Lepisosteus oculatus: one gene and its partner. The protein of the gene in region 2 interacts with the protein of the main gene of each other region in a pairwise test. Links are inferred from orthologs where the notes say so. Each region holds a gene or a part of one and is shown on either strand. Other genes may lie near its edges.

What was found.
Region 1: the proteins of top3b (region 2) and sprouty-related, EVH1 domain-containing protein 2 interact in binary tests that used the Homo sapiens proteins (3 or more experiments, as listed by UniProt). The link is inferred for Lepisosteus oculatus from reciprocal best matches to the Homo sapiens genes TOP3B and SPRED2.

What each region holds. Positions count from the first base shown.
Region 1 is NC_090712.1:9,017,961-9,025,245, forward strand, and holds the start of sprouty-related, EVH1 domain-containing protein 2, read left to right. Parts: upstream 1-4,223; 5' UTR 4,224-4,665; coding exon 4,666-4,691; intron 4,692-7,285. UniProt on the Homo sapiens protein: Negatively regulates Ras signaling pathways and downstream activation of MAP kinases. Recruits and translocates NF1 to the cell membrane, thereby enabling NF1-dependent hydrolysis of active GTP-bound Ras to inactive GDP-bound Ras.
Region 2 is NC_090717.1:2,012,275-2,019,679, forward strand, and holds the start of top3b (DNA topoisomerase 3-beta-1), read right to left. Parts: upstream 3,234-7,405; 5' UTR 3,158-3,233; intron 2,640-3,157; 5' UTR 2,553-2,639; coding exon 2,483-2,552; intron 1-2,482. UniProt on the Homo sapiens protein: Releases the supercoiling and torsional tension of DNA introduced during the DNA replication and transcription by transiently cleaving and rejoining one strand of the DNA duplex.

The DNA of each region.
Region 1 (7,285 bases), on a different chromosome or scaffold from region 2:
TTAAGGTTGTTTTTATTATATGTAAGAAAATGAACCCAAAATGATTTTCAAGTAATGGTTTTCAAGTAAAGCCTTTTTTTGTATCACAGGATTTGAAATCCATATTTTGTGTTTTAAATGTAGACATTTTGTTCATTTTAACTTGAAATTGAAATACAATTGATGCTACTAACATAAACACGTTGCAATGTATGACAAAAGCTTTCCCATTACACTCTGAAATTGAAGCTCTCTGACCTTGAACATTACCTCATCTGATTGAGCTGTTTTCCATTCACAGCAAACCTATTCCAACCCTAAACTAGCAGGCAGGATAATACCTGTCTGGTTGATGTAACTGAAAAACAAAAATGTTCAGTAAAATGTCCTCATTATTAAGAACCAAATTAATAATTTTCTTCTTTGTTACATCACCTAGAACATGCTGAGGGGGGGGATATTTACATAATGCAAAACACCAGATTTATATGATTGTACAGCAGAGTATTATGTATTTTAATGTGCAGTCCAGACAGAACTACAGTTATCAGATGATAGTAGAAGATAGCTTTGTAAAACAACTTTAAAAGAGCATCAGCAAGGACTTTTAATGCTTAGATAAATACATTTAACTCATGGGACATGCAGTCTAAGTCCTTTTCTTTATGAATTCCATTCCAGCAGAGCAGATGCTTGATCAATTCTAACAAAACAAAATGTTTAAATATGTGTGATATTAGGGCATTGTATTTATCGGCAATACATTAACAGAGTGTCCAGCGATTTGAGGCTACTGTTGGAATACAATAATTATTGTTCTTCACAAACTTAGTTACAAGAAAAACACCTGTTAGTATACCAGCAACTTTCTGTTCACCTTTAGAATGACCTTTAAAAATTGACCACATGCATATCACTGCATCACAACTTCCAGCCTATAACATAATTGAAGTTTCAAATTGTACACAATAATGAAGATGTCAGCATGATATTTTACTGAAGTTTTCAGTAATATATAAAGGCGAGTCACTTTTTCAATATCATCTACAACACGTTTACATTGAACATCAAATTAAACCAACTTTAATTGAATGTATGATTGTATTTCAGTAAAAAAAAAATAAATTAATTAATTAATAAATACATTGCTTACACTTATATAGCGCTTTTCTGGACACTCCACTCAAAGCGCTTTACAGGTAATGGGGACCCCCCCCCACCTGGATGATGCGACGCCAGCCATAGTGCACCAGAACGCTCACCACACATCAGCTATCAGTGGGGAGGAAAGCAGAGTTATGAAGCCAGTTCATAGATTCATAAATATACCATCTTTTTGGGGTCATAGGGGATAACAGTGTGGAGGTCAACACAGTCAACCTAAATCCCACTGCAAACAAGACAGTAAAATAAAGACAACAGTATAGTTAAAGGAGGTCTTTACATGGAATTCATAACATTTCCCTTCTGTTCATCATGTTGTTGAAGATAAATGCTTCTCTCTACAACTGCTTCACTTCAAGTAGGGAGTTGTTTACATCAGTACAGGAATGACAGATAGTTGTAGACAGACGGAATTCCTCCCCAAGAACCTCTCCAATCTGTTCTTTCATCTTTACAATTGTTTTAGCAGAAACATAACAGAAAAATATATATATTTTTTTTTTTTACACGAAGAGCTGTCACAAAGTCAATTAATCTGATGGGTTTATTTGGAATCAACGGTGAAACACAATCTAGAGGGCAAGGGTGGAAACTACAGGGAAGTACACTGTAAACTGGCCAGCAGCCATATCACCCTGCAACTCACAACTGGCAGCCCACTGAAGCTAAGCAGGTGTGAGCCTGGTCAGTACCTGGATGGGAGACCTCCTGGGGAAAACTAAGGTTGCTGCTGGAAGAGGTGTTAGTGGGGCCAGCAGGGGGTGCTTACCCTGTGGTCCATGTGGGTCCTAATGCCCCAGTATAAAGGATGAGATGTAAAACCGAGGTCCTGACTCTCTGTGGTCATTAAAATTCCTGGCCAAATTCCCCATTGGCCCTTACCAATCATGGCCTCCTAATAATACCCATCTATGAATTGGCTTCATTACTCTGCTCTCCTCCCCACTGATACCTGATGTGTGGTGAGTGCTCTGGCGCACTATGGCTGCTGTTGCATCATCCAGGTGGATGCTGCACATTGGTGGTGGTGGAGGGGAGTTCCCATTACCTGTAAAGCGCTTTGAGTGGAGTGTCTAGAAAAGTGCTATATAAGTGTAAGCAATTATTATTATTATTATTAAACTGAGAAAACTAGACACCTGTTTACACAAAGGGTTGTGGGAGTCTGGAACAAGGTTTGCCACGTTTTCAAAGCCAGTACCCTGGCTTTCAAGAACTGGCTGAAAAGAAATTGTGTAAGAGCAGTCAATCGAGATTGTTTTATGTTCTTGTGTTGTTCCATTTTTGAGTGTCTGCAATTGAGATGTTAATGGAATCCAAGCCTAGGATGGTTCTACCCAGAATAATGTCACATGGGAAATCAGCAAGGTGTTCTTCAGTTTACAAAACAATTTTCATCCTTTGCAAGTTTAATGGGGCTAAAATTGAATAAAGTTGTAAGACAGAACCTCATCCCCTGCATTTTGTGCAATTTGTCTTGTAATACACTAGAATACTGAATGTAAATATTTATGAAATGGCTTCAGTACCTTCTCTCACACAGTTTGAATATGATGAACCTCTACTGCTTATTTATGGGTAATTAAAGACCTGTTGGAGGATTTCATTCTTACAAAGCAAGGTCTCTACCTTCTTTTAACTGTGTTGCTCTCATGGGTAATTAATAACATGTCTGTAATAGGTCTTTAGTTAGAATTGCAGTATTTCAGGTTAACCTTCAATACGTTAAACACATCTTCTCAATGTTTCCACTTGTTTGCACAGTCTTTTCTAGTGTAGTATTTCTACTCTAAGCGTTTCACTTGATATACGGGGTATGAGAAGACGTTTCAATGTGGTTTGGCAGCAGCTCGTTGTCTGGCCCGAAGGTATTAGAGGGAGTGATCAGGTTGGCCCAGTCCATGTTTCGAGTTAGCCCCCCTCTGCTGTGGACATTTTTACAAGGCTGGAAGGATTGCTAAAGATAACAATCATCCTGGTTTCTCACTTTTGTCTCCCCTTCCCTCTGGTAAGCGTTATAGGAGCATAAAGGCAAGTACGTCCAGATACAGCGACAGCTTTCCCCTGCACTGTCAGATTATTGAACTCTATACTCTATACCTCTATCTTCGACTCACGCTGATGTTTTTTGCACACTGCGTGTGCTGACTTGCATTTAAATTGTGTGTTATTTAACAATGTTGTTGCTGTGGCTGTCCTGTGTTAATGTTCGGTGTTTCCTTAATGTATCTATATTGTAGTATTCCTGCAAATAAGCATTCCATTGCACTCTAAAAGACGATGTATGTTAAATTTGGACTGCCACTCGGTTGAAGGACAAAACATTTTGGTTAAAAATCCCATGCGTTCTTAGAAGGGAGTGCAAAAAAATAAATACCACCACGAGAGACATCGGGAATTGGGACATACGTTTCAATCAATGTGACAGAACAAATTGCTGGTATCTGCTTAAAATTAAGCATAGGCTTCACTCTCTGCTCTTTACCATGAGAAGAGTCTCCTTTATGTCCAAAAAAGTCAGATCTTATTCGATTCCAAAAGTTGCCGATATACTGCAGAATTCAATAAGACGATTTCGCAAATTATCGTCTTATATTTTTGTGTGTGGTTGGGAAGAATATAAAGTACGACGCAACTGTTAAGGCAAAAAGCCTGTACTACGAGGCGTTTTAGTGGTGTCAATGCATGCACGTTTTTCAAAAGGGCCGATAAACTAAACCTACGCCCAAATTAACGTTTTTAAAACTTTTAAGACTCCCCCAACTTTAACCATTTTAACACCCACGGTAATGTGTGCGGTCTATTCGCTGTTTTCAGTCAGTTGTTTCTACCATTAAACATTCTTTTATTGGCAGGAACGGCTAAAACAAAATGATTGCTGCGCTGGTGCCATAACGTGGAAATCCGCAAAGCCCGGGAAGCAGTCTATTCAGTACGAGCAGTTATAATTAGACGTGAAACAGGATGGCACCCGTCTTTAGAATAACTTGGCTCCCACGACAGCCTAGCACTATTTCATGAAGAGGTGTCCCGGACGACGAGCTGCCGCGGACGGTTACGGCTCTCCAGTCTCTTGACACGGGCGGGCGGCCCGCAGTCGAGCTGGTTGCTAAGCTGACGTCATCGCTTCCGCCCTGCTTCTCCTCCTCCCGTGTCGGCGGCGCTGCTGCCGAGAGAATCCAACATGGAGTAACAGGAGATGGGGCTCGTACGGGGCCACCCTCAGCAACATCACCGCACACTCACAACGACGGGCTTTCGGTAATCAAATTCACACTCCAGCACGGCAGGCGGAAAAAAAGGGGAGGAGGAGGAGGACGAGGAGGAGGAGGTGGTGGTGGTGGAGGGGGAAACGTGTGTGTGTGTGGGGGGAAATCACACATTCGGTGGACCTGCACATCCAAAACAGCAACAAGAAAGCAACAGGAAAACCGGTACAATGTGAAAAACACCGGAGAGAGGAAAATGAAGAGCGCCGAGTGTTCACCCGCTGTGGGAAATTATTGTAGGTGAAAAGAGAAAATGACCGAAGAAACACACCCAGACGAGTAAGTTGGTTGCTGTTTCTTTTTTTTTTCCCCTTGTTTGTGGATTTTGCACTGGAGCTGGAGCTGGTGTGTGTCTTGTGTGTGGTGTGGTGTGGTGTGGTGGGGTTGTTAGTCAAGCTCTCCTTGCGACTTTGCATCTGCTGTTGGGCTTTGCGTTTCGGAGAAGTGAAGTTTGGCCAAGTTGCGGCACTGTTCCGGAGTTGGGAACAGCTTTGTGCTGCCGCAGGCATGACAGGGAAGAGGGGGAAGATCGGGCCTCTTTCTCTGTCATAGAGCGAGTCTTCAGAGCGGAGCGGAGAGAGAGGAGGGGGGCAGAGAGGGTGGAGGTGGATTGGAAACATTTGGTGGAAAAAAAAGGGATAAACGGTAAACAGATTTGGTTTCGTAGGAAAGTGGCGGACGACCTGCGGGTCGCTGTGCAGGCGCCGACGCCGTGTTGTTGTCGTTGCGGGTTGTGTTGTGCGTCTTGGCGGAGCGGGCGGCGCGCCGAGGTGCGGGGAAGAGGGCAGGCGCTCCTGCGGGCTTTGTGGTGTTTGTTTTGACAAAGACGAGGCATGAGAAGGGGCTTTCTCTCCGTGGAAGTGAATCAACTGATAGGCAATATCCGCCATTTCTTTTCTTGAATCGCTCTCATTTGCATACCGCACTCATTCATAAAAACGCGACCCGGAGGAGCGGTGTGTGTGGTGGTGTGTATATCGGGGGGGGCTGCTGTTTACAGGAAGCAGTTTTGACTTTTAAAACCAAAACACCTTTTTCATTTTGCTGGAAGACGCACGGTTTGCTGCTTCAGCCTGAATGTTTCATAATGCCGCTGTAGGACGGATCCCGACAATGATGGTCTTTGGACAGTGAACCCGAAACTTAAATACCCACATCACACTTCTGCGTTTATTTTCACAGTGTAGCATTAATGGAAGAGACTCTACTGTAATATTCTACGCGTGTTAAAACGTCATTAAAGGGTTTGCGCGACAAGATATGTTGGGTGTCTTTTATTCGAAAACGTTAGCTGACGTTCTCCGATTGTTTTTTTTTTAACCTAAGAGAGTGCATCTGTGCATCATTGAAATCCGTGGAGTGATGGGCACAGTCCGGTCCAGTTCAGTTTAATGGGTAACGCGAACGCACGTTGAGTTACAGGCATGAGGAGGGGTGGGTGTGTTCTTGAACAATGCGGTGGCGGTCACATGACCCTGGTCATTCACAAATGCGGTAACCTTCAGCCTCCTCCATTCATGCTTGGACCTGCCGCACCTTGAGAGTCAGCAGGATGCAAAACAGTACCCCCTCCCCCCCTGCGAGGATCGCTGTTACACTTTAATGTCATTAGGATCACAGGAGACACTGGCCAGGTTCACACCCCCGTTTTAAGTGCGCATTAAAGGTCTGGAAAACGCGCGTTATCTTCCGACAGAAGTGTCTCCTGTCCTTGGCGCCACGGTAGTTTACCCTGCATTGTAATTAAATAGATACGCAAACGTTAGGAATGAAAGACGATTCCATTCGTTAGTAACCTAATTCAGGACATTGTCGGTCATTTTTGTCTAACTAGTGTAACTTAATCGGTCGTGCTAAATGCAATTAGCACCCTTTTTTGGGGGGGACCAGAAGCAGGTTCTTTTTTTAAACTCCTGGGTATTGGTTCAGAGAATTACGAACTGTAATAGAAAGTAATTACTGTATGACTTGTCACACACCATGTTATCGGATTCCCACACACCCTGCCGAGTACACAAATGAGTCAAGCTCAAGCAGGAAATGGGAAGGTCCAGAAACGTGTTGATTTATGGTGCACGATGTGTACCTGCTAAGGGAGGAAAGGGTACTTGTGTTAACTGGTGTTGAGTGGCAGCTGAGTAGTGATGAGGGTTCTGGATACTGCAGTGGGTGTTGTGGGTTTCAGTCCCAGACAGGGAGCTCCTATTGCACCCTGAAGCTAGTTACTTATCTAAGATTGCCCCCACTAAAGTCCCTACAGTAAAACTGGGTACTCCAGGTACATGAAAGTTAGTTCTCTCTAATTGTTTGAGTAGGTCAAGAGTGAAAGTAAATAACCCAGGTGTAGACATAAGTCCCTTTACTCACCTGTCAGTGTTGGCCACTGTTCTTGTTGCTCAGTTGATCAGAGCCCACCCCCTTCTCTGGGCTTTTTCTGTCCCTTTCAGTGATATAAAAAAACCCACTGGTAATCTCTGCCCAAGCAGTTGACTGCATTATTTTAAAACACGTCTACGTCTTATAATATAGTGCAGGCTACTAATTAAATCTATTGAAGAGAGTTCGCTCTCTGGTGATGGAGTCATCTTTAAGGGTTTGAATGGTTTGGCTCTTGACTTCAGCTGTAAACTCCATGTGCACACTTGTGCTCCTTGGACTCTGGCCTTCCGATTGTTCCCAGTACAAGGCCATGTTCCTTGGGAGGCTGTGCTGTTTGTTCCGTTCCTCCGAAGATGTGTAGGAGAATGATCTCCCAGCCTCTCATCTCCCAGAGTGACCTAATCAAAAAATCCTGTTTAAAAAATTACCTTTATAGCCTAGTGTTTAATTGCTTCATTTGTTATGGTGCGTGTTCGTGTGTTTCAAATATTTTT
Region 2 (7,405 bases):
TTTCAACTTGACATCAGTGTATTGCTAGCTAGATTTACCATCGAAACCATGTCTAATCACAGCAACGGCTTAAGGATCATTTAACTGTTTTAATGTTTTGTACAGAATGTAATATTTTAGTGAAATCATGCATGACATCGGGTATAAAACTGATGGATAACAGCACAAACTTCCATTTAGTGAAGCTCTATCCTGCAGAATGCAATGTGGTAGTTAAACATACATGGAAAATATTGATGACCTGACTTGGAAAGATCAAAGTTGCACAAAATGACTTCCCTCAATACTTGTCAGAAAGTTTTTTTATATCTGTACAGACAAGACGTTTGTGTTGTTAACAATAACTGAAGTCTTGAGACAAGCCCTCAGAAATCTCATTTAGCAAGCGACACACACGTCAGTCAGCTGATGGGTGTAGTTGTGTTGGACCTATATACTAACACTGCTGGAGGGATTTGGATCAATAGGAACTGCTGCTGTACTCTAAAGCAAGGTGCTTCACGCAGGCAGTTCCAGTAAAAACACACAGCTGTGTACAAAAGTTCATTTGGAAGCCAGGCACATCAGAGAGTCTTAACTTATGAAGCGTCATTGTCGATACAGTTACTGCATTCTCTCCTTTCAACTTCCAGGCCTTTGGCAGTTCATCAACAATTTTGTTAAAATCACAGCACTTCTGAAGTTTTCCCTGTGGCAAAACCCAGACCTTGGGGTTGCAGATTTCTGTTCTGGTGCATCTGTGTACCACGAGCAAACTGATGGCGAGCACTGTTCATTTTATTTTGCAGGGTGAAGATGGACGTGAACCGGATACCCCAGGTTATCCACGAAGCCCACTGCACTTCCAGTCACAACTGTGAGAAAGTGAAGGACAGCGCCTCCAGTTTAGAAAGCATCCCCCTTTCCATCACAATCCCTGTGCTTAAGAAAAAAGACAAGTGTGCCAGCTATTCAGTGGAGCAGGAAACGATTAGGATAGCCTGTATATGTGCCACAGCCAGACAGCAGTAAGCTTGACTAATACGAGCCTAACTAAGAATAAAAAGATACTTTAAAAAGTTAAAAAAATGCACTTTACCAATGTTCACAAAGCTTGCACAACTTAGAATGTTAATATGTGGACATTATATGTTTTGATGCTGGAAACTGATTGCCTCTTGAAGGCAAAGCAAAAGGAAGGAAAAAAAGTGGTTAATGTTTCCATTCTACTTTATCAATCCATACAGAACCAATACACTCCACGGACCACAAGCAAAATGGTACATGTTGAATACAACTTAATGCGCTTAACACTTTTAGAATGAAAGAAGAATACATGAATACACACCTATATTTAGCTGAGGTATCCAGGTATATTTAAGGTGAGTTACGTAAAATTCTGGCTGTCGAAGCTCAAAAGAAAGAGGGAGAGGTGCTGTCTCTTATTCCTTTACAGAGTCACAACAGCTTTTCATTTTTTTCCTTAGAGTTGCAAAGTCAGAATGGGCTAAATCTATTTGGTTTCGGACAGCACCTTCGGAGTTTAGCCTACTCTGAAAGTCCAGAAATTGTCCGTGGATAAGATCTCCTGTAAAGGTGAAATAGCAGTGACAAAGGGTAGATATGCATTCGAGACATCTAGCAATAATCCAGAAAAGTGATGGCAGTTGCCATTTAAACACGAATGCCAGAACAAACAGTGAATATGTCAGAAAATGTAAGCTAAGTCATGTTTTCAACATGTTACTATCTTTTCTAATGGTTTTGCTTAATGTTGCCTTCAATGTTGGATCCTAAAATAAAATGAATAACATTAACTGTGTATGTGTGTCCTGACTGATCATTTAAAATACACTGGCTGCTTTTGTGAGACTTACAATTCATATATTTTATCCGGGACCATCAAAACTAAGCCAAACCACAGCTATAAAACGCAGGATAAATGAACAAACCAAACACATCATATAGCTAAAACTGTAAACTACATCTCGAATGTATGCATATAAAGGAAATAGAACAACTCCATCAAGATTTAAAGTAGGAGTCCCAAACCAGTTCCGAAAAGAGGGTTCAGTCTCTTCTCCTTTTCATTAAACCTGGGCTCTCAACTACATAGTGTATGTAACTTCAGGACAGTAATACTCCTAGCCAGGGCGGGACTCAGAGGGGACTGCAAATGATGTGAATCCCTTGAGTAACCAATTGTTAAAAGACTTCAAGAGGCATCCTATACATGACTCAAAAATCATTTAGATTGTTTTATTAACCGCTCAGGTCTAAACAAAACCCAGGAGACACTAGTCCATACGTGCACAGCTCTGGCCCTTGAGAGAGAGGGGCTAGCAGGTTTTCTAAGGCTCTTTACATTCTCAACACAATGAGGACCTCAGATAAATGTGACACTGGTCTATGTAAGCGAACATTGAGCTTGATGATATCACATATGCCAAGGGAGAAAGAAACAGTACAGACACTGTGCTCCTCCTCAGAGGTATTGACCCACCTTTTGAAAGGATCTTCGCTATAGACTGAGCCAAAGAGGGCTTCTCAGCTACCATCAAGACAGTCTTCATTTCGGGATTGCAGATGGAGAGTCGCAGGTTCGACTTCGTACGCAGACAATCGGATAACTCTTGGAGGCCAGTTATTACTCACTGCGACTGAAGAAAAAACGATCTCACATCAGCTAACAGTGTCTGCTGCTACTGTAAGAACGACATACTTGAAACTTGAAACTTATTAAGAAGACGTTTCATAATAGGCCGAGGCGGACCTGAACACAGTTATAATTGAACACCCTACAAATCAACATTCAAAAAACAAATCACAAGTTGATTCCTACGGCTAATTTTGATCAGTATTGAATATTGTATTATTAGTATGATTTTATGAATACTCTGGTGTAATCTGACTTACACAGATGATAATATAATTAATAAAAGCCTAAATTTAGACTGAAAGCAGATTAACAACGTCAAACGTCCTATGGTATACATAATAAAAAACTGCGCTATTCTAACTTAAATTTTCGCTTCAGAATCTTCACTTTCTAAATTAGTTCCTTCACAGCTGAAAATTAAATTTTACCAATAAATAAGGTAATCGAGATAATTCTAGTGACGCTCAAAGCCACTACAGTAGTTAGAATTATACAGTAATAGTACAAACAAAACCTTACAGAAGAGAGCAGGAGTCGGGTTATGAAGATACTGGAAGACGCCATGACACCCACGACTTGGCTGATACACTTCCGGGTCACGACGAGTTCAGCTCCTTGATTTTACAGTAAAATATCAAATATAATCCAATTCGATTCTTTTAGTTTTTTGCGTGGTGTGGGTATTTTGAAATGATCAGCAGATTCTCTGACAGCAAGTTCCTTTTCCCCTCAGCAATTGTTACCAACTTCACGAATACTTGGATACTTTTGAGATGTTGCTTTTAATCGCGCCTGGACGATACGGCGAATAATGGCTGTTTGTTTAGCTTATATTGATAAGTTAATTTTATAAAACATGGCACATTTACATTTTTAGACTCCAGACGTGTAACTGTGCTGCGGGAACAGAAAATATACAGTGTATAAACAATATAGCTATAAACAAGACAGACTTGCAAACGTCCTTCTGCAGATAAAACTAATGTATATCGTAAATTTGTATAACTCCATCTAAATTACTTCTGATCGCCTCAAATATGCAATATATTTACCATTAGGCTTCAATATGAATGAATGTACTCATGCACATGCTTTGCTACACAATTTTAACAATTGCAAATGATGTAAATTGCTTGGGACCAGATGTTTGACTTTCAGTCAATTCCTCCTGCCACACACTGCACACATCCCCTAAAAACCCAATACCGTGATCCAAAACAGGGTCTGGCAACTCATCTGAGCTGCATAACGTCAACATGAACAATGTTCAATCTCGAAGTCTAAATCAGGGGATCTCCATCCTCTCCCCTTGTAGAGCCCCAATTCAGCAACTTCTATAACTCGCCACTTTCTAAGGACAAAAGAACAGTAATTTTAATAAGATCACTTTATTGGCCATATACAATTTCTTGTATTAGGAATTTGTCTTTTCACAGACCCCTGCTTGCTCATCATGAGACACACAGACAGGGAGAGAAGCTGGGGGTCAGAGCGCAGGGTCAGCCATTTATACGGCGCCCCTGGAGCAGTTGGAGTTAAGGGCCTTGCTCAGGGGTCCAACAGAGTAGGATTCCTCTGCCGGCCACGGGATACGAACTGGCAACCTTCCAGCCACAGCTGCAGGTCCTGAGTCACAGAGCCACCACACTGCGGTGATGATAATCCTTTGTGACCTCATACCAAACCCCATGAGCCTTCAAAGGCAGAGTTCTGATAATTGAACAGAAGTCTTGTTTATTTCTACTAATCTTTAGAAACAGATGATCTATAAGAGTGAGTGGATTGGGGCTTTCCTTGAGCTGGCTAAATAAAACCCCTTTTGCTTTAATTTAATTCACATACACATTTTTCCATGTTGTGGACAAATGTCATATTGATACTGCCACAAGAGTAACACAATTTGCATGGAACTGTTGCTCTTAATGACAAATTGCTCTAGCCTGTAAGTAAACAATTAAACCATATTTTGCAATACACACTTATGATAATGTGGCAGTTGTTAGACAGCTGAAATTGCAAAAACCCTGTCACTGAAACAGGACACATTACTAAGGAATGTTCTAAAACCCAGAGCTCAACACAGAAGTAACCCCACTCAAACAGCTGGATTACCTTGAGGATTATGAAAATTGTTAAATTAAAATGTCTTTCTAAACAAAGAGTTCAGTCAAAGGATTTGACTCTCCTCTGTAATTAGGACTATGAAACATTGTCCTAAGAGGTGTCTTCATCTTCCAGAAACGTTCTCAAAAGTATAATGTGTAGAAGGGTAATAAAAATGGGTACAGGGACTATGTGAGTGATTAATATAATCTATAAAGCAAAAGATGCAATTAATAACTCCTACGCAAATCATAATTATGTCCTGTTGCAGGGCAGATGCGATAATTGGTGGCTCTGGAAATTGGCACCCTCTCAAGCTTTTTGGAGTAAATATTGTAACCTGATGCTCCTCGACACTGTGTGAATTAGCTAGTTTCTCAATCCATTTTGCTTCTGACTAACAGAGGTGTCACCACACAGGTGCTTTCAAAATCTCGAGGGCTGAATGAAAAGAGCATGCAGTGAGGCACACTCTACCTCGAATTCATCAGTTATGGGAATTTCCTCTTTATCCCAGGATAACTTGGGACTGTTGACTGGAAAACAAGAAACCCAGCTGCTGCCCCCTTCATTCCTGTGATGTAGACACTATATATAAAGGGATGGTCAGTTGCTTTCAACTCATAAGCCAACTGGAAGACTGCAAAACTGCAGAAGAAGAGAAGAAAGAGTCCCAATGGCTTTTCTATCACAGAGAAAGGTATGGCAAGCTTTTGTTTCTTCGAACTTGTAAAGCCCTTGAATTATTTTTTCTCGGATTAACTGGAATTATTCCACATCAAGTGTCATAAACTCAGCCATTTAGGACATCATAGCCACACACATTTCAAAGACCTGATGGTGCTCTGCTTTTTGTATCGGACAGTAACCATCTCTAATCCCTCCATTTGCTTTAAATCTGGTGTCCAGACAGAAGGCAGGAGAGAAAGAACACCTGTGATTTATAAGGACAAGGACACCATTCAGACCCTCCTGTCTGTGCAGTATTTCAGTAGCTACTTGATCAAGGATCAAGGAATCTCATCCAGCCATTGTTGGAAAGAAGTTAGTGTATCAGCTTTAACAAGATGACTGGGGAGCTTGAGTCCTCCTCTTGCAAACATTTTTGTAAAGATGCCTCCTGTACTACAATTTAAAGTGCACATTTAAATGCATTTTCCCAAAGTCTGCATTTGTGTAAATCCTTGAATTGTCTTATTCATTACCTTTCTGGTCCAAGCAGAGAGAAGTGTAATTATTTAAGTCTGAACAGGACATTCTGTAGAGCCCAGGAAGGCAGCTCATTGCTCTTATCTGGATTGTCTCCACAGAAGCAGTATTATTCTTGTATCTTGTAAATGACGTTTGACTTGTGCATTATACATTTTCAGCATACCACCCCTTAATTTCATTTCCAAACTTTTAACTCTATATCTTCATCTGGATCAAGAGAAACGATGTCTTTATAAGTAACCTCTTTAATCTAACCTGCCTGCATGAAACACCTTGTGCTTGTCTACATTAAATGTCTTCTGTCAAGTGCTGGCCCGGGTCTTAATGAGGAACCCTGTTCTTAATCTAAAAGTAAATCTTTTTGAATTTCTTACACAGCTTCAATAAAGTTCACAAATCCTTCTGGTTTGATAACTATTCCAGAATTTATATCTTTGATATTTCTGATATAATTAGGAAGAGTGGTGATCCTATTCCAGAGCCTAAATTTGAGCTTTTACACCATATTCCTAACCTCTTCTTCCTGTCCACTAATCAGCTCTTAACCCAAGAGCATGGATTACCCTGAATGCCTAACATCTGCAATTACAGAGTTCCTTAAAATTTGAAGAGCTTCTGAAAATCTAAGTATACCTGTCGCTCCTTCTCTGTCCTGTCCCTAGTTTCCTGTCCTTTGCTGTCCTTCCGGTGTCTCTCTCTCTGTATATTTCCGGGTCACTCATTCACCTTTGCTCAGCATTGACCTTTGGATGTCCTAAGACCCGCCTAGCACCAGGTCGCCCCATGTCCGCTGCCTGAGGGCATTGGTTTCTATATGACCCCTGACCTGCTGAGCCCGGGCTAAACCCTTGTTCTGCCACTACGCTTAGGGTCTTTGTCCACTCTCCTTCCTCTCCACAGTTTGTTCCTTCCAACATCTGTGACAATACCAAGGGACTGGACAACAGTTTTGGACAGTGTTCCAGAGGGTTTGGGTACAATGATCTCTTTAAGATATACTTCAAGTAGCTCTTAAATTTCGTACAGCAGGGGTTCTGCATTCCTGGTTCTGCAGGACCTATGTGTCCGATGTTTTTTCATTTTGGCTCAGCTCTTGTTGAACTGATTATCTACTCATTATTGTCTTAAATAGACCAGTTTAAGAATTGCTTTTAGTTCTTCAGGTGCAGCCTCTTTCAACAGAGCTAGAAAACCCCCTGTCTCCAGGACTAGAGTGGAGTTCAGTATCTCTTCATATCATGTTTCTTCTCTTGAAGATTTCGGAAAAAACCTGGGTCTCCTTTACCACCCTCAGGTGCAGCTGTGGCTGGGAGTTGCTGTTTTGCTCCAAGTCTGTGGTCAGGACCGGGCAGAAGCACCCCCCTCCCATGCTGATGGTCCCAGTTTTTCAGTAGAGGAAGTGAAAGCCTGGATTGATCAAATCGCATTGATCCTTCCGGAGAACGCAAACTC